4 linked regions of the Caenorhabditis elegans genome follow. The protein of the gene in region 2 purifies or fractionates together with the protein of the main gene of each other region. This does not show direct contact. Each region holds a gene or a part of one and is shown on either strand. Other genes may lie near its edges.

Evidence for each region.
Region 1: the proteins of mlt-8 (region 2) and eif-2A fractionate together in Caenorhabditis elegans (co-fractionation; one large-scale study listed by BioGRID). This does not show direct contact.
Region 3: the proteins of mlt-8 (region 2) and gly-8 fractionate together in Caenorhabditis elegans (co-fractionation; one large-scale study listed by BioGRID). This does not show direct contact.
Region 4: the proteins of mlt-8 (region 2) and clec-137 fractionate together in Caenorhabditis elegans (co-fractionation; one large-scale study listed by BioGRID). This does not show direct contact.

Annotation. Positions count from the first base shown.
Region 1 is NC_003280.10:10,414,645-10,420,603, reverse strand, and holds eif-2A (Eukaryotic translation initiation factor 2A), read right to left. Parts: upstream 3,799-5,959; 5' UTR 3,768-3,798; coding exon 3,743-3,767; intron 3,687-3,742; coding exon 3,614-3,686; intron 3,562-3,613; coding exon 3,484-3,561; intron 3,430-3,483; coding exon 3,297-3,429; intron 3,244-3,296; coding exon 3,063-3,243; intron 2,991-3,062; coding exon 2,710-2,990; intron 2,657-2,709; coding exon 1,814-2,656; intron 1,766-1,813; coding exon 1,667-1,765; 3' UTR 1,375-1,666; downstream 1-1,374. Other genes in the region: frpr-21 (G-protein coupled receptors family 1 profile domain-containing protein), read left to right, coding at 1-98, 179-304, 1,005-1,180, 1,232-1,374. UniProt on the Caenorhabditis elegans protein: Functions in the early steps of protein synthesis of a small number of specific mRNAs. Acts by directing the binding of methionyl-tRNAi to 40S ribosomal subunits.
Region 2 is NC_003280.10:568,030-574,321, reverse strand, and holds mlt-8 (uncharacterized protein), read left to right. Parts: upstream 1-2,211; 5' UTR 2,212-2,214; coding exon 2,215-2,388; intron 2,389-3,196; coding exon 3,197-3,435; intron 3,436-3,718; coding exon 3,719-3,914; intron 3,915-4,618; coding exon 4,619-4,816; 3' UTR 4,817-5,042; downstream 5,043-6,292. Other genes in the region: W08F4.5 (Nodule-specific Glycine Rich Peptide), read left to right, coding at 5,525-5,573, 5,761-5,988.
Region 3 is NC_003281.10:11,622,130-11,628,735, reverse strand, and holds gly-8 (putative N-acetylgalactosaminyltransferase 8), read right to left. Parts: upstream 3,495-6,606; 5' UTR 3,494-3,494; coding exon 3,387-3,493; intron 3,101-3,386; coding exon 3,022-3,100; intron 2,967-3,021; coding exon 2,863-2,966; intron 2,341-2,862; coding exon 2,088-2,340; intron 2,011-2,087; coding exon 1,877-2,010; intron 1,831-1,876; coding exon 1,672-1,830; intron 1,625-1,671; coding exon 1,507-1,624; intron 892-1,506; coding exon 739-891; intron 694-738; coding exon 535-693; 3' UTR 501-534; downstream 1-500. Other genes in the region: Y66A7A.7 (IMV envelope protein), read left to right, coding at 226-350; ceh-91 (Homeobox domain-containing protein), read right to left, coding at 4,845-4,892, 4,948-5,100, 5,803-6,096. UniProt on the Caenorhabditis elegans protein: Potential glycopeptide transferase involved in O-linked oligosaccharide biosynthesis. In contrast to other members of the family, it does not act as a peptide transferase that transfers GalNAc onto serine or threonine residue on peptides that have been tested.
Region 4 is NC_003280.10:4,615,871-4,620,376, reverse strand, and holds clec-137 (C-type LECtin), read left to right. Parts: upstream 1-2,286; coding exon 2,287-2,454; intron 2,455-2,506; coding exon 2,507-2,618; intron 2,619-2,673; coding exon 2,674-2,932; intron 2,933-2,983; coding exon 2,984-3,158; 3' UTR 3,159-3,225; downstream 3,226-4,506. Other genes in the region: clec-139 (C-type lectin domain-containing protein), read left to right, coding at 8-88, 140-215; clec-138 (C-type LECtin), read left to right, coding at 577-711, 760-871, 961-1,216, 1,275-1,449; clec-136 (C-type lectin domain-containing protein), read left to right, coding at 3,844-3,972, 4,027-4,138, 4,196-4,454.

The sequences.
Region 1 (5,959 bases), 9.8 Mb from region 2:
GAAGTGAAAAAAGCGTCATTTGTTCAGGGAAATCTTCCAGAAAACTATGTGCTTCTGCAAGTTGCCGCTGACGTCATCAAGGAATCATTGATCCACAGGTGGGGTTGTCATAAACGTTCTATTAAAGAATTGTCCCAAAATACTCTTTAAAAATTGAATCCCCATCAATAAAGTACAGTTCTGCGGCGGTATCGTCTGAAATCGTGGAAAACCAGAATGTGGATGATATCACTGATTCAGTAGACGTTGAACTTCCACGTCATCGGCCATCAATTTTTAACACTTTCGTACTGGCACTCAGGGAGTGAGTCACGGAATGCGTAATAAATTCCGGAATATATCGTAGCAAATCCACTTCTAACTTCTTCTATTCACTACTGTGTAATTTTATCATATTATACGTTCATCGCTTGCAGATGGTCAGAAAACGCGCCCCATGGTTCCAAATGGATAAAGAATTCGAAAATTTAATAATAAGTATTATGGGGACGTAAAAAAATTGGGCCTCGTTAGGTATTTTGGGGAAAACCGTAAATTCGAACGTTTTCCAATAGTGTATCCGGTTTGGCTTTTTAATAATATGTGTTCCGTTATTTTTAATGATTAAAAAAATGTAATGATTTTTTAAAGATGCATGAAAACTTTCATTAAGTTGTGAATTTTATTTTTTTTTTAAATTTCAACATACCTAAACTATTAAAAACAACGGAAAACATACCAAAAAATACGAAAAAATGATTGAAAACGTTTGAATTAACGATTTTCCGGCCAAATACCTAACGAGACCCATAGCTTGGGGGCGGGGCGTTCTCCATTGACCGTGGAGCGCGCTAATATGTCGATCAGTTTTTTTCTGCGGTCCTATAATAATATTTATGTGAAACCAAGAGCTGGCGCTTTGAACTTCTACATATTCGATGTTAAAACATGTCAACTTCTTCTAGAAGCACATTTGAGCTCACTGGAGCTCATTTCTTTTCCAAAATTAATTATTTTTGTTCCAGATCATCCCGAAGTAAGCGATCACAGCTTCGAAATGCAATTTACACGATGTTGGCTATTGTCACTTCATATTTGGTTTGTAATGGCGTTCATCTTTTTCTGACGATCCTTGAGAGGTTCGATCCATCTTATCTTTACGAATCCACGGATCGAATGCAGTCGAGCACATTTTATATCGGTTAGTTTTTAAAAACTTCTATTATAATAATAAAATACTTTTCCATTTCAGTTTTGTCTGATACTGTCTCCATCTGCTATATGGCATCCTCGGCAATTCGTATTTTCATCTACGCCAAGTGTAATCCAAAGTTGCGACAGGAGATCACCGACTACATCAAACGAGAGAAGAGCATCGAGACGAACAGCTCGTAACTTCCTTCATTTCATCACTTTTTTGTTACTCTTATTACGGGAGTTCATATTATGACAATAATAATTAAAGAAATAAACAATCATAATAAGAGATTGGGGAGAGAAAAAGATAGGCTAAAAGAATATGGAAGACAATTGATAAATAGATATTCAAAACAACTGGGGAAAAATTTCAGGTTTCACTCGAATGTATAAAGTCTAAAACTCATAGGAAACAGGTGAGTCAATCGGGAGAAAAGAGAAACAAAAAAATGATAATCGAGGGAAAAACACAGAAAAAAAGAACACAATTTTAAATGGTCAGTTTGGAGAGCTCTGAGAGATATTCGTTTTCACGTTGGATCTTCTCCATTTGGTTTGGTTGAAGTTGATCGCCATTCGCCACTCGTTGCTGGAAATTATTTGTTTGAAAATATTTTTGAAACTTCGCACAACTCACCTTGAGAACTTTAATCTCCTCAACCTTCTTTTTGAGTTGGAATGCTTTCCTTTCTTGTTCCGATTGCTGTGGTCGGAATGGTTGTGGAGCATTTCCGTTTCCATTAGCACGTGGCTGTGCAGGCCGTTGATTCTGGTTTCCTGGCGTAGGTGCTGCAGCTGATGGTGGTCCAGCTGATCCTCCACCTCCTAGCGGTTTCCTGAGATGAGGTGGAATGTAGGCACCAGCCTGACGAACTGCTCCTGCTGGAACATTATTCAGTGGATGAGATGCATCCTTCTTTCGAATTGGCAAGCCAGCGGCCATTTTGTCCGTCTTGGTTAGCTCTTTGATGGCAAACTTGTTGTATCCAGTCATTGGACGCCAGCGAACTTCCCACAGCTCTTTTGGAGACTCGAAGTGAGTTTCAGCAAGCATTCGACCCGTGTAATGCCAGAAGCGGTAACTGTTATCTATACGAAGCCTTGGAGCAGTGGTGCATGTAACAAAATGTTGACCATCTGGAGCCCAATCGAAAAGAGTTGTATTTGGCACCTCGATCGAAATAATCTCCTTTTTCGTCTCCACATCCCAAAACTCCATTTTTCCCTTCGCGATATTTCCAAATCCACAAATCAGAACAATATTTCCAAATGCATTATAGAAAACATCGTTTCGTGGACCTTCAATCGTGTCGAAAATTGGAACTCCTCTCGGATTATAGAATGTCACTTTGGCTGGCATATAACCATAGCAAACAGCGAATTCTCGGCCGTTGGGATTCCACTTTGCAGCGTAAATTGGACCTTTCTTCTCCAAAGGAACAACTACAGACTCTCCTGATTGAATGTTGATAAGGTATAGCTGAAATTAATTAAATAATTATTGGGGAGATTTGAGAAAATTTTAAAACGAACACTTTGCTCTCCATAATAAGATTGATTTGTCTTATCCACTTCAACAGAAGCAAGAATGAGAAGTGATTGACCACGCTGATTCCATGTCATTACGGCTTTGTCAGATTTGAAGAACGTACGATTGCCGACGACTGGGAACGATTCGGAGACTCGATGAACTCGCACGCGAGCTGGAGTGGATCCAACGGCAGGGACATAGACAGCCACGTGATTCGGAGCAGGACCTGGACTCAATGCGAAGTTGGTCGCACCCTTCTCGACAAGCTTGTGGTCGTAACGGTCTGAAAAGATAAGTTTTATGATAACGGTCGTAATAATAATATCAATTTTCAGAAAATTCATGAAATTCATACCGAAAGACATGTTTGTATAAAAGAAGACTTCACTGCCAACCATTCTTGCAGCCAACGACTCATCATCCGAAAACTGAGGCTCCCACGATGCTTCTTTTGGAGCTGAGAACGTTGATACGTGCTTTCCATCCGCAAGACTGTAGACTCGCACATTTGGTTCTGGCTTTTGGTTCTCTGCAGTCTAAAGTTGAAAAAAAGGTTTTCAAACTGAATTAAATAAAAAATTATTCAAACCTTTGGTCCGTAAACTGCCCATGGCTCGAATGTGAGCAGGAAATTGTCTTTTGGTGAGAACAAGATCTTCCGAGTTCTTTTCAGCTCCACACAAAGAATCTCCTTGTTTGTTGCGATCTCGAATACCCGTGTTCTAAAAAAAAAACATTATTTAACTATATATTCCTCTCCTGAAACTTCTTCTTACACTTGATTATCGCAATAGGCGAACAGCTGTCCGTTGTTGCTGTAAGCGAACACATTGCAAGCGACGTCTCTCGAGGTTCTAAAAAATACATTTAATTATTGATTCCTGATAATTGTTCTGAATTACGTACTTATTCTGCTCAAAAACTGTCACCGCGTCTTTGCCCAGCCCGCGCTTCAGGTAGAAGCCTTCACTTGATCGAACTGAAACAAATTTCGCAATTTTACGGCCTATTCAAAGCTGTCTAAAGTAAACTCACCGGCGTACACCAGGTTATCACCCATTTTATTGATCTGAATCAATGTTTGAGAAAGTCTGAAAAAAGAAAATGTCTTAAATTTCTCAGGAAGTAGGAGAAAATTAGAAAAGCTCGAGGAAATGACGAAAAAATTCGAATCACGAGATGGCGTCGTATTTGGCGCCGGCATACATTTGGAAATGCAGAATTTCGCGCACCGTATCCAGAATAAATTATTCTAGCGGGAAAAGATTAAATAAAATTGAATATTGGGAGAAACAGTTAAAAAAAAAAGAAATATTCCTCGAAAAATAAAAAATAATTCGATTTTTTAATTCGATGCAGTTTTAGTGCATCGTTTGCGTCACGGTGTTTGCACACAAAGTACAGTAGGCAGAAATAGTTTACAAACTTGCAAAGACTTTGTTTAATCGATTAATTGCATAATATTAAATTGCAGAGTTAAATTTAAATTTAAACTAAAGCTACACAATATATAAATATTTCCGGAATTTCGTCGTATTTCGATCGACAAAAATCTGAGTATTTATGGAAGCCACTGTCTTTTCTCCAAATATTTCGAATTTCATTGCTACGCTGAATGAAAATAAGAAATTGAATAGAGACAACGCGTAGGCGGAATTGAAATTGGTCTCTTGAAAATTTATTTCGAGAAGTTATTTTCAAGGATGAAAAAAACAATATTACCCAGGCACTGAATTTGGCTTTTTTCGCCAAAAAAAACACGGTACCCGGTCTCGAAGCGACAATTTTTTTAATGCAAAAGGGTGTGCGTCTTTAAAGAGTACTGTAATTTCAAAAACAAATTTTGCTGTGGAATTTTCATCGATTTTTTAACATTTATGTGTTTTTGAATTATAAAAAAGTTTTTTTGTAAATAATTAAATGTATTTACAACGAAAAACTATAAAAAATCGAGGAGAATTCTAGAGTAACGAAAGTTTGTAATTATAGTACTCTTTTGAGGTCATAATCGGAAAGTAGACCCCTTTTAATTCAAAAAAACTCGAATATAACATTATCGAGCGTTAGAAAATACGGTCCCCGGTCTTGCCACGCGCTCTCTTGGTAAAATACAAACGGATCTGCGCCTTTAAAGAGTACTGTAATTTAAAATTTTTGTTGCTGCGGATTTTTCATCGATTTTTCATAGTTTCTCGTTAAAAAATTTTCATAGAAATTTATAAAAAACTAATTTCAAACAAATTAATTGTTACAAATCGCAAGAAAAACTACGGAAAATTAATTAAAATTTGGATTTTCGTGGTATTTCGAGACACGATAGATTGTTATATTTGCAACGAAATAGTAGATGTGCCATATTGAGAAGCATCCGATTTACGGTAATTCTGCTTTTTCTGAAAATATATGTGCTTCTTTGTAAGCGTTCCCTCGCCAACGGCAGAATTGAATTCTTACTGCTCACCTACTCATTTTCAGTTTACTCTTTACCAAGTCTTTCTAAAAGTATAAGACCATGATCCTTTTCTAATCTTATACTAAGTCAGTACCGGCTTACCTACTTCTTCCGAAACTTCCGTATTTTTCAAGTCTCAAAACCTCGAAAAACTGTTCAAAAAATTCGTTACTTGCTCATCCCAGGTGTTTAATCTATGATAACAACACGTGGATTATCGTAAGAGTACAGTCTCTCATCTGAGTGTCTCATCATCACGAGGATGTCTTAAAAGTTGATCATTTCCTATTCAGATACATCAGGAAGCGTCCAAGTACATGAAATGAACGAATTATAGTTGGCGGCCAATCCGGAAATATTAGGTTTATATTAATAGATTTTGTGATTGGTACGTTGTGATTTTTGGTTGCATTAATATATGTAATTTAAACCCTCTCGAAAAACCAAATAGCCACATTTTTCTGGGCAAAAATTCCCGCATTTTTTGTAGGTCAAACCGAAATGGGGCAGCCTGACACTATGTGGAAACATTGTTTTGCAAGAATTTTTTGCAAGAATTTCAGATATTCAGACGATTTTCATTTCAATGCAAAGTCCTCTTTGACGCTAGTCATCCTTCATGATCCTTGGAATAATGTTTTTATTCTCTGAAAACTTTTACATGTTTTGAAGCTTTTATGCTCTTATCCTTTCACAAGACCAGACTTTCTGAAGTCTGTTGTCAGATTATATAAGATCAGACTTTGGGGCAAAGTGGGTGTAATAGACCATTGGAACATATTTCTTGCGCTATTTTTGGA
Region 2 (6,292 bases):
TAGTTGCCCTTGAGTGATCTGCGCGCGCGCGAGCGGGTGTACGCGTCTCTTCGAATGGGGGCCGTGACCTACATTCATTTTCAATGTCAGTTTACCTTCCACCCCCATCAAGTATTCCGTACATCATCAACCGGAGAAAAGGAAGGTTTCACTCAATGTATATCGATTTACTTCCGGATTTTTTATTCCTATTTTTAGTTGCTATTTAGCCTAAATTTTTTCTAAATTTGGGCCTGCCAGCGTAAACTTTTAAGTTTGAAGTGTACGTAGACAATTAAGTTATCTAATAGATTCAATCTTTCAACTTACTAAAAACTCGTATTCTAAAGTTTGGTAGATCCATGTTTTTACTATGCGAATATCAGCTTATGAGATCTGCCAGAAAACCTAAGCCAAAGCCTAAGGCTAAGCCAAAAACCAAACCTAAGCCTAATCCTAGGCCTAAGCCTAAGCCTAGGCCTAAGCCTAGGCCTAAGCCTAAACCTAAGCCTAAGCCTAAGCCTAAACCTAACCTATGCCTAAACCTATGCTAAACCTAAGCCTAATCCTAGGCCTAAGCCTAAGCCTAGGCCTAATCCTAGGCCTAAGCCTAGGCCTAATCCTAGGCCTAAGCCTAGGCCTAATCCTAGGCCTAAGCCTAGGCCTAAGCCTAAACCTAAGCCTAAGCCTATGCCTAAGCCTAACCTAAACCTAAACCTATGCCTAAACCTATGCTAAACCTAAGCCTGAACCATTTAGTTTATAGCCTAGCAGTCCCAAACCCTATTTAAATTCAAATATAAAGTGCAAGTGGTTCCACATTTAAACTTTTGACTGCCCCCCTCAAAAATATCACTTTCCTTTACGATCCGTAAAATCCCAAAGAGGCGTGTCCTAGTGTTAATGATCTTTGAATCACTTTCAATTCCCCCCCAGACCGTCCATTTCCAGTGACCAGCCCTCCTAAGCCAACAGCAACTGCATTATTCTGGTTTTAGGCCTTTTTCCAAGGGATATGACGTTGTCAAGTGTGTTTCATGTTTTGGCTTTAGGGGTCCAGGTACATGAGTCATTAGCGAATAGTGAAAGTTTGGTTGTGGGTATAAAAGAAATCAGTTCTAGGTGTTCAAATAGGTTATTTGGTTTTTTTAGCACCAAGTCATCAATCTACGTCTTTGAATTGATTTATATAGTTTATAAATGTAATTAGGTCTGCTAAACTTTTATAGCCTAGCAGACCATTTTTCAGAGTTTTGCTCCAACTCGAAATTTAAACCGTTAGGTGTCGGCCGCTTTATCGAACAGTTTTCAACTATGAAATAAAACTTTAGACACCCTTAATGACCTAAAATAACTGCAAAATTTTTTTTTCAAAGTTTTCGAAACTTTTTAGAATTTTTCAATCTTGCAAAAATTGAAAAAAAAACGGTCGAATTATTTTTGAATCCCCGCGCAAATGAGTGACGTCATTTTCTACATTTTCGCCTTTTTTAGGCCAATTTATTTTCAGGTTATCAAGTTTTCAAAAATTTGTAAGTTGAAAAACAGTGTTTTAAATTAACTATAGAAGACAAATCTGAAAAAAAAAGTGGTATATTGAGCCAGAAAACGCAAAAATGTCAAAAATAACGTCACTATTTTGGGCGGTAATTCAAACTTCATTCGGCCGTTTCTTTTTCGAAAAAAAAATCATAAAAAATTTAGAAAATTTTTTAAAAAATTTTAACGGTTCTATTTGGTACATTGGGACTGTATTCTGTCATTTAGTGCAAAAAAACCCACAGACGCTACTCCACCTTTAAGAAAAAAAGGAAAGTTCAAGAGTCCTCAGAACACGTTCCCTCTACCCCTCACCAGTTTCCTGCCACAGTATGAATGTAGTGGGATATGATTTGTTTCATATATCATTTTCTCTAAATAATACTGGATAAGAAGTGAGTATCTCTATCCCCACATCTCTGTCTCCCTTTCTGATAATAATCCCGTTCTTCATCTCCTTTTTCTTCTTCTCCAATTGTTCTCCCCGCCATGGAAGTTTTCTACTTCATCCTGTATTTGTATCCCCTTTTCTTAAGCGTTAACATTGAATATCAATATTATTTATTGTAAAAAATGCACAGTTTTGCTGTAATATTTTTTTTTGAAATTTGGAAAAAATAACAAATTTTTTTTTTCAAATTAAATTCAAAAAATTTCAAAAAAAAAACAAAAATTTAAAATCAAATTTCTCAGGTAATGGTCCTTCTGCTTCTGCTCCTTGCCGTCGGCACCGTAGTCGCCCAAAATCCACTGACAAAGGCATGGAACGAGGCAGTGCCCGGAGTTCAGCCATTCTGGGAGAAATATCAGACCGGACCACATGGAGTCGTTATCAGAGGATGGCAGTTTTCCAGATGTGCCAGTGAGCAGGTACTGCACTTAGAAATGTTCAACTGGAAATTTAGAGTATTTTGTTAGTTGACAACTTTTTTGTCGGAGATATTTGAAGAAAGTTAGGGAGGTTTCAAATTTTGGATTTTTTTTGGAAAAAAACAAGAATCTATCAATAGAGCGAATTTGCAACCAAAAATTTTATAAAATTCCACAAATTGCAAGTGCGCCCCAATGACAATTTTTTTTGAAAAAAAAATCCCAATTTTTCAAAAGTGTTAGTTTTAGTAAATCTAAAGTTTACACGTGGTGTCAGTGTGTCTCAATCCTGCTTGATCTACGTAGATCTACAAAAAACGCGGGAGAAGCGACGCAGAGTTTTCAACTGACGTCACATTTTTTTGGAAAAAAATTTTCCGCATTTTTGTAGATCAAACCGTAATGCGACCTGGCACCACGTCAGTTTATACGATAAACTTTAAAAGAAATTTAAAAAACGCAGATGTTGCAAACTCGCTCCACCTAGAAATTTACGGTTTTTTCATTAGCGTTTGATCTACAAAAAATGCGGGATTATTTTGCCCAGAAAAATGTGACGTCAGCACGTCCTTAGAAATGCAAAATCAGTTGGGAAGTTTGAGTCTAATTTCCCGCATTTTTTGTAGATCAAATCGAAATGGGAAATTCTGACATCATGTGAAGCTTAGGGATTTGTTTTTAAATTTCAACAACAAAAAATTGTAAAGTTTTTTTTTGGAATATAAAAATTTTCAAATTTTCAAAAAAAAAAAAATTTCACAAATTTTCTCCCCTTCCCACAATATTCCATAATTCCCGAAAATTTCAGTGGACAAACTACGTGGTAAACGTGTCAAACATTGTCATCTGGCCAGACTATCCACGTTTCCCGGGACCAATCTTTTTCAATGTTACGATGGACGTAAGCGAAGATCTCCCACTGGACAAAGTTGAAATGGACCTGGAAGTACGTCACGCCGTGACCAATAAGCAAGGATCCAAGGGATGGCAGGTGATTCCATGTCAGGGATGGAATATTATTGATGGTTGTGATGGAGTCGGCTCGTGGTTAGTTGGGAAACTTGTGGGAAAATTAAATTCAAAATTTCAAAATTTGAAATTGCTTTTAAAATAAGCGGGGTTTCTCCGGACACGCCCTAAAAATGGGCGGAGCCTATAATGGCGTGGCTTGCACCACCCCGCCCATTTTAACTATAATGTAACTATTGTACATCAAAACTGTCCAAAAATTTCCAGTTTTGGAAAATTTTAGGAACGTTGTTTATTGGATCACTGCACAAAATGTTAGTACTAATTTAGTAAAAAATGCTGAAATGCTCCAAATTTACAGCCGCTACTGTGACATGCTCGACAAATGTAATGAAGCCGTTTCGGGAGCCCACAAATACGTAAAAGACCGTAAAGCCAACGATTTCCTGAAACAGAACAAGTTGTGCCCACCACCAAAGGGGCACTGGACTATGACTTTCTCTAAAGTTTTCAGCTCTGAAGATCTTCCAAAATCCTTCTTTGGACCACTTCAATCGGTTGGTTTTTTTTTTTTGAAAGTTTATAGTTTATAGTTTGTAGTCTGCTAGACCCTGTTTTAAGAAAAAATTCTTGAAACAAATTTTTTGTGTAAATAATATTTTTTTCAAAAAATTAAGAATTATTATCCTGAAAAATTGTTCTCAAAATTTATCAGAAAAATGATTTCCCGCAGTTTTTGACTGGAGCACACTTGCGGATGGACGGTAATTCGAATTTTTGTGTGAAAAAATATTTTCAATAGTTTTTAAAAATTATTTTCAGTGCGATCTGCGGGAAATTTGAATTTTTTTCAATTTTAATGTTTTTTTTACAAATGTGCAACAAGGTGTGTTTTCATGTGATGTCAGAGAGTCCCATTTCGGTTTGATATACGTCGATCTACAAAATGCGCGGGAGAGTTGAGACGCAGAATTTTCAATCTGATTTGACATGATTAAGAACGTGTTGATGTCACACTTTTTGGGCAAAAAATTCCCGCATTTTTGTAGATCAAACCGTTATGAACAGCCTGAAACCACGTGTGTTTTTCAATTTGCAAAAAAAACTCGAGGAACTAGAGGAATTTTGGAGCTTTGTAGTAAATTAGTCTACAGAAAATTTGCAGTACTTTTCAGCAAAAACAATTTCGAAAAAAAATTCCAAAAAATTATTTTTATTAATTTTTCCTTTAAAAAATCCTCCAAACCCTTTCATTTTTTAGAATGAATACTGGCTAACATTCTCCTTCACTGACGGAAAAGACAAGAAGCTGGGATGTGCCCGTTTGTGGGTGGATGTATGCAAGTACCACCTTCAGGACAAGTCCCAAAAGTGCCTCCGTGACCCGAATGCATTCAAGAACTTTATCAATGAAATTTCATCGCAAGCTGAACATATTCGCTCCAGAAATGGAAAATAAATTGTTTAAAATTTTGAAATTTTTCTCGGAGAAAATTATTTTTCCGAAAACCAAAAAACCACTTCAATTTCCAAAATTTCCGATCTACACTCTGTGGGTATATGCAATTGTGTCTAGTAGTTTCCTAATATTACCTTTTAACATAATTTATTGATTGATTTTTGTTTCGGCCCCCACGACATGTCCATTTTTCTCAATGCTTTCATGTTGATTTTAATGAATTTTTTTTTTGAAAAATTTAATGTGAAAAACGCGCATAATTATCCAGATTAAAAACATGAAAATAATTTTAATTATATTTTTTTATTTTTTTTGCGAGATTTCTATTTACTTTTTTTAAAACAAATTGTTTAAATTCTTATTTTCCTGAAAATAGTTAATTATATTTTAATTTAGAATAATCAATTCAAATACAATATAAAATAGAAGCTGCTGTTTCAGAAAATTCACCAAAAAAATGTTCAACATAAAAAAAATTTTTAGGAATGAAAAAAATTTACCAATTTTCTTATTTGTATCAAAATTTAAATTTTTACTTGAATTTTGAATTTTTACACCGTCACTATGCAAAACTCAAGCTTTACTGTAATTCTTCATTACTTTCCGCTCGGAAACTAGAAAAAAAAATCTTTTTGACCTTGGTTATCATATGGTTGCTGGTGATATAAAAGACTGTTGTTGTAAACTTATCGATTTTTTGTGGGCAAAATGATTTATAATATTCTTTTGTTCTTATTGCTGGTTTTTGTTCATTTCGGTGAGTTTTTTTATTAGATAAAAAATTGGAAAATTTTTTTGGAAATTGTATTTTAAAAAAAAATTCAAATCTTTTTGTAAATAAATGAAAACTAAAATTTTGTAATTTTGCTTTGAATACATGCAATTATAATATTAAAAGTTGGAGAACAACCTAGAAACAATTTCGAAAAAAAAAAAATTTCCAGCAAATTCCCGAACTCTCACCGACCTCATCTGCAAGCTTAATCCATCTCGATGTGACTCCTTCCGGTCCAATCACAGAGCCAAAATCTCAGAGCACACGGGCTCCGCCGCTCCTCTGGGAGCTCCATCACTAGAGGAATTCCAGAGGTGGAATAATTACGAGGAGACTGCACAGGGCACTGGATTCTTAAAGCCTGAAACTGGAAACAATCCGGTTCCATATGGTCCAGGTAGATTTTTTAGAATTTTGAATTCTTAAAAAATATTTTTTCTGAAAATTTTGTGAGTTGTTGAGCTTGTTTTTGGGAATTCTCAATTTTTTTAATTTTGAATTTCCGAGTTCGCCGTACTTTCAGAAATATTGGAGATTTCAGGAAGTTTTGAATTTATTAATTTTCAGAATTCTAAAAATACGAAATTTTTAGAAAATCTATAATTTTGTACTTCTTGAAATTTCAGTATTTTCAGACTTTTTGAAATTTTTTTACATTTAACTTACTAAACTAGAATGTAGTGATTTAATCTGGCAGACTC
Region 3 (6,606 bases), on a different chromosome or scaffold from region 2:
GCCAAAATTTTTGTCAAAAAATTTGAATTTCCCACTAAATTTTTCTCAGATAATTTGAACTTCCCACCGAAAATTTTCTCAGAAAATTGGAATTTTCCGTCAAAGTTTTGCTGAGAAAATTTGAATTCCCGCAAAATTTTTTATCTGAAATTTCGAACAAATTTTCGTAAACAATTTTTCAAGGCATGGTGCATCAATAAATTCTTAAGTAGTACCATTTTCCAGGCTGTACCGCCGGCTTCTTCTATGGCAAATACAATCAACGATACCAGTATAAAGAGCTGAGCAGCGGGAGCCCCAGCAACTCGACAACCCCATTTCAGAGCCCGATGAAGAGTCAGCGAGTTTGAGATGATGACGTCATCAGATTTGTACAATTTATTAATGTGCCTTTAAACATTTGAATGGGTTTATTTCTATGTGATTCTTATTTCCTCTTTCCTGGTTGTTGATTTTGCTTCTGATTTTGATACTGACTTTTGAAAATAAAAATTTTAAAAAAACTCAAAATATTTATTAAAATACGTTAACTAATTATAGTTCATCATGAACTTTTGGCTCAAGTTCTGGATAAACATTCTCAATAAACCATTTCATATCTTTGCACTTGAGACGATCCTTCACTTGCATTGGCTCTGTCAAATCTCCGAACACCATCTTTGCGCCACGTGGCTTTACAGCGAAGAATTTGGACTAAAAATTGGCGTTTTTTCATTTTCATGACAAAAAACCACAAACCTCATACTCGCCGAGCCACGTTTTGGCAACTCTGACCGCGTTGTACAAAGCGGTATCCATTCCTGGCTTTGAGGTGTACGGGCGGCGCATTCTGAACACGTGGCCGACACGTGAGCAAGGAGCAACTACGACACGTCCGCCGCAGAGCCAAGCCTGGAAAATGGGTGATTTTATTAGCGGCCGACAAGTGACGGGCTCGAGTGGCGAAACTCTGGAAGTGTCGGGCGCGCTGAGTAATTGGCAGTGGCGGAAACCGGTTAAATGTCGGGCGCGCGTATTTTGCCTGCGGCCGACAAATTATGAGTTACGCCATGTGAGCGGGGGTCCCCGGAAGGTGTCGGGCTATGTTTTCTTCTCTTTTTCGGAAAAAAACGTCGGAAAAGGATAAACACTATTTTATACAAAAAATTTTTTCAAGAAATGCGTCTTCCAAATCATTTACCAATTTTTGTATTTAACTCTGACCCTGAAAAAATTGAACAACAAAGAAGTGCAGCCGACGATTTCTGGGTTCCACCGCGGCCCATAAACCGCTAGTTGTCGCACCAGCCGCAGCAGCCGACAAATTAAGAGTTCCGCCACTAAGCTATGTTGAGAGTCGCTAGGTGTCGCGCTTGTCCAACAGCCGACAAATTATGAGTTCCGCCACTAAGCTCTGTTGAGAGCCGCTAGGTGTCGCACACGTCCGACAATTTCTGGTTTCCAAAAAAGCCCGCGATATGTCGGGCGCAACCTCGCCTCCACATAGTTTAAAGGCGCATGACTCACCTTCAACGAGAGCTCAATATTCTCGGATCCCCAAATCTCCATTCCCATATCATATTCTCCCAACTCAACGAAATACTCTTTCCTCATCGCCAGAAGACCTCCTGGCATGGCTGGGGAGCTGAAAAATAACCCGTATTCCCTATTACTAATGCACCATATTCCTACTTGAAAGGCTTCACATTATTCTCGGGCGTCTCAAAGTATTCCCATGGAAGATAGATCCATTTGAACGTGAATCCCCAGTCGAATCCACTCTTGGCAACCATCGATGGAGAATAGTCGAAGGAAACTGGATTGATCAGGTCGACGACTGGCAGGACGATGCTGAAATTTTTTTTTGGTTTTCCAGTAACATTTTGCAAGAAAAAACCTCTTTGGATCCTCTTTAATCGGCTGTAGCAGTGGCTCCAACCATCTCTCGGCCACCTCGCAATGGGAGTCCATGAACACAATAACCTCACCGGTAGCTAATCTTGAAGCATGAACCTTTGCTCGGATAAGACCCTGAAATTTGGATTTTGCAATACACGGAAGGTTCAAATTTTCTGGGAACATTTTTTACCGGATATTCAAATGTTCACCTGTCTATACTCGCTTCTCTTAATGATCAGCTTATCCTCGAGTCCCTTAATCTTCGCGAACTTTTCCAAATGCTTAGTGAGCACGTGATCCTCCTCAGAAGCGTCCTCATAGAGCACAATTTCTTTGAGAAGCGATTTTGGAGTAAATTCGATGATTCCGTTGATCATTCGAAGGATCGTAGAGAGAGCCTCGTTGTGATGAATTACCACCACTGATGTGGAATAACTGGCATCGTACTTTTCTTCTTCGCATCTGAAAAGTTCTCTTTTTTGGGTGATACTTAGGTTCAGGCTTAGGTCAGGCTTAGGCTTAGGATTAGGCTTAGGTTTAGGCTTAGGCATAGGTTTATGCTAAGGCTTAGAACTTGGCTTACGCTTAGGCTAAGGCTTAGGCTTATGCTTGTGTTTATTCTTAGGCTTAGGCTTAGGCTTAGGCGTAGGCTTAGGCTTATGCGTAGGCTTAGTCTTGGGCTTAGTTTTAGGCTTAAGCTTAGGCTTGGGCTTAGGGTTAGGGTTAAGGTTAGGCTTATTCTTAGGCTGAGACTTAGTCTCAGATTTCAAGATGTGTTGTTTTAAGAACTTGTTTTAATCAAATTCTCTGAAAACATAAATCGAAAACGAATATTTAAAATCTATCAGGAAATTTCTGAAATCGTAAAGAATCCCCTCTATTCCAGTAAAACGCGTAGAATTTCTAACAAAAAAAGGAATTTTGAAATTACAAGATTTTTTGGAGTTCTCATCAAAATTTCAATATGAAAATTTATTGACTCACAATTTATGCGCCTGCTTTCCAACATTTCTATTCGGTCCCAGCTTCTCCGAAGATAGAGCATCAAAAGCAAAGCTCTTAATTCCCCATTCGGATTTCTTGGATTCCTGGAAAAATATTTGATGAGTTAGACAAATAACTAATATTTTGAAGTAGACTTACAGCTTCAGTAAGGTTCTCTTTTAAAGTGTGATTGCATTTTCTCTCGGTGAGAGGCTTCAGGTCCAACCAGCCTTCCAAACTGGAAATTTTAAATTTATGAGTGATAACCTATTAATTATAGAAGGTCATAAAAATTTGTCAATTAGTAAAACATTTTTTCCCGCGGAGTTACACGATTTTAAAGTTATCAGTTTGTTTCAAAACTTTAAGCGCGTATAACTTCTTAACTGGATTAGCTACCAAAAAATTCTCAAGTACCAAAATATGGATAAATTTGTGCTTAACATTTTTTTTTAATTAACAACTTTTTGATATCTTCAAAAGCTAATGAAATATAGAGATACATATCTTTAAAGCCAACCAACTTCTCATAAGGGTCCACGTGTTCGCACTTTGGAAGCTTCTCTGCTTCTTCCGCCGCAAATACTATTCCGGCAAAAACAAAAATCGATAGGACGACGTGGCGTCGCATTCTGTAAATTTTATCTTAAAATTTAAGGGTAAAACATGCAATCAATCAGAAGACTTCCGTCTTCTTTTTGAATGAAAAAGTAAAGAAAAATTGGGATGGAAAACAAGAAATCGTTTCGGACAGACTTCTTCTTTTATACACACCTTCTCCGCATTTTCGGAGATGTCTTCTATGTCTCACCTACAAAAACTGGTCCATCTTATATTCCGCCACTTTTTCTCTGCGTCTCTTAGGTTTTGTACTCTGTTGTCGTCTATATAGATGTGGTTATTAACCAATTCATTAGTGGAGAAGGTTCGAGAAGAAAATTTGCCCCATTTATATAATTTAAACAAAAGTTAACTTTCAGCTATTTTCCAGTGGAAAATCTCAAGAAGACTATCCAAATCCAACAAAAAATTATAATATTTTTTGAGTTTGCGCGTCAAATATGATGCATTGAGTGTAGTTGGAGTTTATGAGATTTTTTATAAAATAGAAATATCATAATTTGTGCTCTAAAATCACCCAAACTGCTAATTTGCAGAATTTTCGGGCGAAATACAGAAGAAAAGCCAAGTGGCACCTGGAAATTTAAAATGTTGCGCGTCAAATCTGATGCACTGTGGTCGGTGTTTGCAGAGAACAAATCAATTTCTACGCGCAAACTTGTTCTTTGAGGTTTTGGGCCATTTTATTCGAAAAAAAAAATTCACCATTTTTGTGTTTTTTGTAATCGATATATAAATTAAAAACTTTGAAACTCTAAGAATTTACGCGTCAAATCTGATGTAATCGTTTTCGGTGCGGCTCGCCGACCCCCCTGCATCAGATTTTACGCGCAACTGATTTTAGGGCAGGCTTCTTACATACTATAATAGCTAAAAAATCTAATTCTTCCAATTTTTTTGTCACGTAGCATCATGGGCTCCTGGCTTTCCTCATTGCATTTTTCGCGCTCCATTGACAATCGCCTGCCGGAGACAACGCGTGGGAAAGTCGTGTACTCCACACGGACTAAAATCGAGCCGCGACGCGACACGCAACGCGCCGTAAATCAACCCCGGCCGAGTCAAAATGGCCTAATTCTGGCAAACTCTTACATTTCAAAATGATTTTTGAAATTTTTTCTTAATAAAAAAACAAAATAAAAAGCCAATTTCCTATAAATTGAGGCCAAGGCCTCAAACGGTGTTCCCGATACTAACCTTGTACCCCTTTTTTGGAGTGTTCAGGAGATGTTTATCTTTTCTCTGTTCTGTTGGAAAATATATTGGTTGTCATTTATTTAATCAAAAACCCATTAAATAACAAAACTAGAGCGGTAGAAATTTTTTTTAAAAATTCAAAAAAATTGCCAAAAAAAATTGTGTCAAGAATCCAATGGTTCCAGTTTGATATCTTCTTCGTTGTCGGGCTCCTGAAAAAAAATCAATTTTTTTTCTAGAATCTGAAATTTTCAGGTTTTCACTAACATTCATCTCAAGCCTTGGCATTTTCGCCAGCCTCGGCGGTGGATCATCATCATCCTCGAGTTTCGGAGATTTCCGGCTTTTTTCCTCGCGATTTCGGTAGTAGAAGATCCATCGACCGAGTGTTTCGTATGGAACGTCAAGCTCTAGTGCTAGCTGAAAACTAAGATTTGAAGAAATTTTTTGAGGGAAAAATTTCGAAAAATCGATAAAATATAGATTTTTTAAATTCAAAAATTCTGAAAAAAAAATTGGCGGGAAATTAAAATTTTCAGAGAACAATTTTTGGCGGTAAAACCGAATTTTTCGAAATACAAATTTTGGCGGGAAATTTAAATTTTTTTCATAACATTTTTGGCGGGAAATTCAAAAATTCTGAGAAGAATTTTTTTTGGCGGGGAATTCAAATTTCCTGATAAAAACAAATTTTGCCGGGAAATTCGAATTTTTTGAGGAAACTTTTTTTTGGCGGGAAATTCAAATTTTTTTTTGAAAAAAAAATTTGGCGGGAAATTTAAATTTTCAGAGAAAAATTTTTTTAGCGGGAAATTCAAATTTTCTGAGAAAAATAATTTTGGCGGGGATTTAAAATTTTCTGATAAACAACTTTTGGCGGGCGGGGAATTCAACTTTTTTTTAAAGAAAAAATACGATTTTGCCGGAAAGTTCAAATTTTTTGAGAAAAAAAAATTATTTTGCCGGAAAATTCAAATTTTTTGAGATGAAAACATTTTGGCGGGAAATTCAAATTTTTAGAGAAAAAAAAATATTATTTTGCCGGGAAATTCAAATTTCCAGAGAAAAACAATTTTGGCGGGAAAACTGGGAGTTCGTTTGCGAGAGACCCTCAGTACTGACCAATCGTCGCTTGGCGACCGAGACTACAGTAGTTCCATCAACAATTGTCGTGAACAAATCGATGCTTTCCTGTGTGAGCGCATCAAGCTTATATTCGAATTTCAGCGCTTCTTCCTCGCGTTCCTCGTTCATTTGTTTCAATTTGAACCAATTCATCACTTCTTTCACTGGAGCACGTAGTTCTTTCGCCAAATAACAATATTGCTCATCTGTTGGTTGCGGATTTTGAAGAAATGTCGAATGGAGCCGTTTTTCGTCGTTTACAGAAAATGTTCTCCACGTTTGATCTATTATCTGCAAAATTGTTCCGGTGAAATCTGATGTATTAGATGTGGAATTTGGATGTTTTTTTTCTTCAAAAAATCCTGTAAAATACATATTTTTCATTGATTTTTAAATATTTGAGGCGATTTTACAACTTAAAACTAATATTTTTTTTATTAATATTCAAAACTAATTTGCACGTAAAATATGGTGCATTCATGTGATCCCGAAGAATAGTGCAAACACCGTATTTTACGAGCAAATTTGTTTTAAAATCAGTATTATTATTAAACCGTAAAATAATGCATTTTGGTCAAATCGCCTCAAACAGTTAAAAAAGGTATTTTCAAAAACTCGATAATTTTTGAATTCCCGCGTTTTCCGGCTATATTAAAAGGGATTTTTGCTTCTTTATTTTTTGGAAGACATTTTTGAGAAAATTCGCTGAAAGTATAAACCTGGCCTAAAAATCGATAAAAATCAATCGGAAAAATGTTTTTTTTTTTTGGAAAAAATGCGAAAAAAAATGGTTCAGGTTAT
Region 4 (4,506 bases), 4.0 Mb from region 2:
TTTTCAGAGAAATTTTCACAATCGCTGAATGTCTATCTCTACATAATCTCCAGGCAATCAAGAATACTGGAAATTTGAAGGATTTTTTGTGAGTTTTTTTTTTGCAGGATTTTCAAACCCAAAACTAAAAAAATTTCAGGTGCGGCGAAGAACCAGACAAACAAGTCGGCGAGGTGCCATTCTTCGGAGTTCTGTGTGGATGTGCTCCAGTATAAAATTATTTAACTAGTGCCAAATGTATAAACAATTTTTGAATTTTTTGAAGATTTTTCAGAGAAATCTGTCCTCGAGGCACAATATAAATTGTTCTTACAATGTATGCCTAGTTTGAAAATGTATATCATGACTCGATTTTTTTTGTGTTATAAAAAATTTTCCCTCTAGAAAAAGTTGAAAAATAGGTAGAAAAATAAAATGCGTCATTTCCGCCCAGCCCCCGAGATACCGTATCATTTTGATGTATTCGGGGAATAATGGTTCCGCAGAAACGGAATCATTGAAGGGATGTACAGCTTTTTTATAGCTTTTGACTAGTACAAAAGCATACTGAAAGCTTCTTCTTGAACTCTTCATAACATGTTAGTTTTATTCTTACTATTCTTGGTTGTTCCGGCGGTTTCTGCAAAGGATCCAAGATGCCCAAAAAACTTTACTTTTGTCAAAAGAACACTAACTTTTAAGAATAATTTTACAAAGGGGTGGTGCTTGGGGGTACGTTATTGATAGAGACAGTACCCAGTTTTAAAATACACTTTCAAGATTTTCAATGGAACGGATGTGGGAAATCGTGACCGAGCCCGCTCAGTCTGTCTCTATCATAACGCTTCGCTGAGCAATCCAGAAAATTCACATGAACTTGAGATTGTTTCTGGTAAGTTGATCATGTTTTTTTTTAAAGACATGTCTTCAATTCAAAATCGCTAGGAAAAATATGCTTCTAAATGTGTAATTAATTTTTAGACGTTATTCGCGCACGGAACATTTCCCTCCCGATTGCACTCGACGGACAACTCTCTCCAAGATGCAAGGCCCTTATTTTCAGAGGCGAACAGAGCCAACAATATTTTGACCAAAGAACAGAGGAAGGAGATTGCAATATTAACAATCATTTGTTTGTATATGATGATATCAATACAGATACTTTATTTATCCGTTCCAAACTAGGTACTTCGGCTGGAACTAATGGAGGATACTCCAGTCAGGAGGACGGAGTAAAGTAAGTGTATGAAAATTTCTAGATTCAACGTCAAACAAGTCTAGAATTCAATTTACAGATTTCGTTTCACCAGAGATTGTAACGCATTAACAGATGCATACTATTACTTTTCTAATGGAACACATTTCTATGCGGTAGATGGACGAACTGAATTGCTCGGATGCTTTGGGGAAAAGGATAAGCAAAATAAACACGAATATAGTAGTGTTCTTTGTGGAAGATTCCCTCTCTGAGTTAATTGATCAGAAAAGACAGTTGTTAATAAATATTTTGGAGTTGTTGTTCGAATTCATCACTTGTGATTATATCAGAAAATACCAATTTTGCAACAAACATCAGTCGAGGATATGCATAATTTTCATAATAAGTATTTTTTGATAGCTAAAGATTGGAGCTAATCATATTTCAAAATTTACAGAGACAGGACTATTTTAAAAGTAAACTACCCTGTAACAAATCAAGAGTTTCGAAGCTTGAAATCAAAAAAAAACTTATTCTTGTAAATCATTTTATATTCTACCTCGGAAGCCGACAAAAGCTTGGTTTTAAAAAATCTAGCTTCAAAGTCTTGTTTTCAACCACAAATGTTTGTGTACATAAATTTTTGGATAGGTATCATAACAAGCAAGAGGGCCTTATGTTAGTCATAGGCTTGCACTCAGTTGCTCAATTTTGACGGCTAATAACTAGGTTGTGTTTTGTTTTACCAAAAATTATAAGCTGACAAAGAATGTGTTACAAATTTCTCTACAGTTTTGGTGTTAAATGTTTTTGATAAAAGGGCTGAAAATGAGGGTACTTTTGTTAGAATCTTTATTAGATCAGATATTTTTTTGTTTCAAAGCGCATGGTTTCAATATTCTTGACAACTTCTATCAACCTACGTGTTATATAAGAATTTCTTTGAATGAAATCATCCAACCTGATGAAGAAATATAATGCGTCGTTTCCGCTATCCAGCCCCGAGATACAGTATCATTTTGATGTATTCGGGGAATAATGGCTCCGCAGAATCGGAAACGCTACAGGGGGCGAACAACTGTTTTATAGCTTTTGACTAGTACAAAAGCATGCTGAAAGCCTTCTATGAAGTTCAGTATAAAATGTTAGTTCTATTCCTACTATTTTTGGCAGTCCCAGAATTTTCTGCGAAGGATCCAAGATGCCCGGGAAACTTTACGTATTTCAAGAGAACACCGACGGCAAAAAATAACTTTACAAAGGGATGGTGCTTGGGGGTAAGTTGTTCATATCAATGACACCTAAATAGTTTTAAAATGATATTTCAAGATTTTCAATGAAACGGATCTGGGAAATCGCGACCGAGCCCGTTCAGTATGTATCTATTACAATGCGTCGTTGAGTATTCCAGAAAATTCACACGAACTCGAAGTGATTTCTAGTAAGTTTTTGAGGATTTTTTTATTGCTGCATGCGGAAAAATGTAAAATTTCCAGAGACTGCTAGCTTGAGAAACATTTCCGTACCAATCGCTCTTGATGGACAACTCTCTCCAAGATGCAAATTCGCAATTTACAAAGGACAAGTAAAGGGTGCAAAACGATTTAATCAAACTTCTGAAGAAGGAATTTGCAATATTAAATATGAATTGTTCATATATGATGATATTAATACGGATACTTCATTCATTCGCACAAAGCTAGGTGTTTCGGCAGGATCAAACGTAAGAAGTGTACAAGCTGATGATGATATCGAGTAAGTTTTGAAAATCGACTTTCCTATTTGCATCCAACATTTCATTTTCAGGTATCGCAGTACAGCAGATTGTACCGTTTTGGAAAAAGGATCGTATCACTATTCTAATGGAACACTAAAAGATGGGCACACTAATTTGATGGATTGTATGGGACAGCTAGCTGGCTCCAAGAGGCTACCAGAAAAAAATGTCACCGCCGTTCTTTGTGGCCGATTGCCGTTCTAAGTAAATGTATTCTATCATTTCTGGAAAGATTAATTTTCAATATTTAATAAATATTATATTTCCGAAATCTTTCTGATATTTCTTATTACCTTAGCTGATTGAAAAGATAAGGTACACCCAATTTGTTTCCGCAAGTGAACTTCAGGTTATTCTTAGGCGACGAAAATCCCTGTGCGGGTTTACAATTAAATCATTTTCGCAACGAAACATTTCCTTTTACAGAGTTTTGACAAGTGTGTATACCATTTTTGTAAACTAAAAGTCAATTAATTCATCTTAACTTTCGTCTCGAACTTTTCGTTTTTAAGTTCCATCTTGTTGATAATACGGCCTAAAAATTGTAAAAAATTTCTCAAAGCTTCCTATTTTCTGTGTCAAGAAAAATCGGAGAGCTCTACATTATCTCTTTTTTGGCTTCCGGAAAACTTTTAGAGTAAATTTATAATGTATAATTTATGATAAACCTCAAGAAAATAGGTACAACAAGCATCTGCTACGTCCAAATCAAAATGTTTAGAAGAATAAATACTACGGTAGAGCATTTTGTGGGTGTTGTTGAACATCACGCTTTTGTTGAAACGATCAAATGCTGTCGGAAAATAATGGCTCCGCATGGCTTAGTCACAATTTTATCGATTTCAATAGGTACAAAACCCCGCCGAAACTTTTCAAAACTGACAGAAAAATGTTCGTTTTCTTTTTGCTATTTTTGACTGCGGTTTTCGCAAAGGATCCACAATGCCCAGAAGGGTTTTCTCATGTCAAGAGAGTCCCAACTGCAAGGAACAATCATACAAAGGACTGGTGTTTGGGCGTAAGTTCCAAGTTTTGGGTTTTGTGTTCATAATGCTTTATGACCATATTTCAGGTTTTCCAATTCAAGAACATGGGAAACCGAGACCGAGCTCGATCATTTTGCAGTTATGTGAACGCTTCATTGACCATTCCAGAAAATGAGCACGAGATTCAAGTGTTTTCTGGTAGGGATATTTTTCAATAAAAACATTTTCAGTGTTGTAATCTTCAAAAACTTTCAGAAATCGCCCGAGCTCATGGAATTGAAGCTCCTTATGCTGTTGACGGTCAAATTTCTCCAAAATGCAACGGTCGTATTAATAAAGTCGAAATCATACTTCGTCATCGATTCAACAGTACAGAAGAAAAAGGAGATTGTAATATCAAGAATAATCTATTTTTGTTCGATGATGTCAATAGTGACACTACATTCATGCTGAGCCATTACAAACGTCGACTTCCAGCTGCTTATATGGTTCATCAAGCTGACAATGGTCCAATGTAAATTAGACATAATTATCAAATAGCGTGAAATCATAAAAAATCAAATATT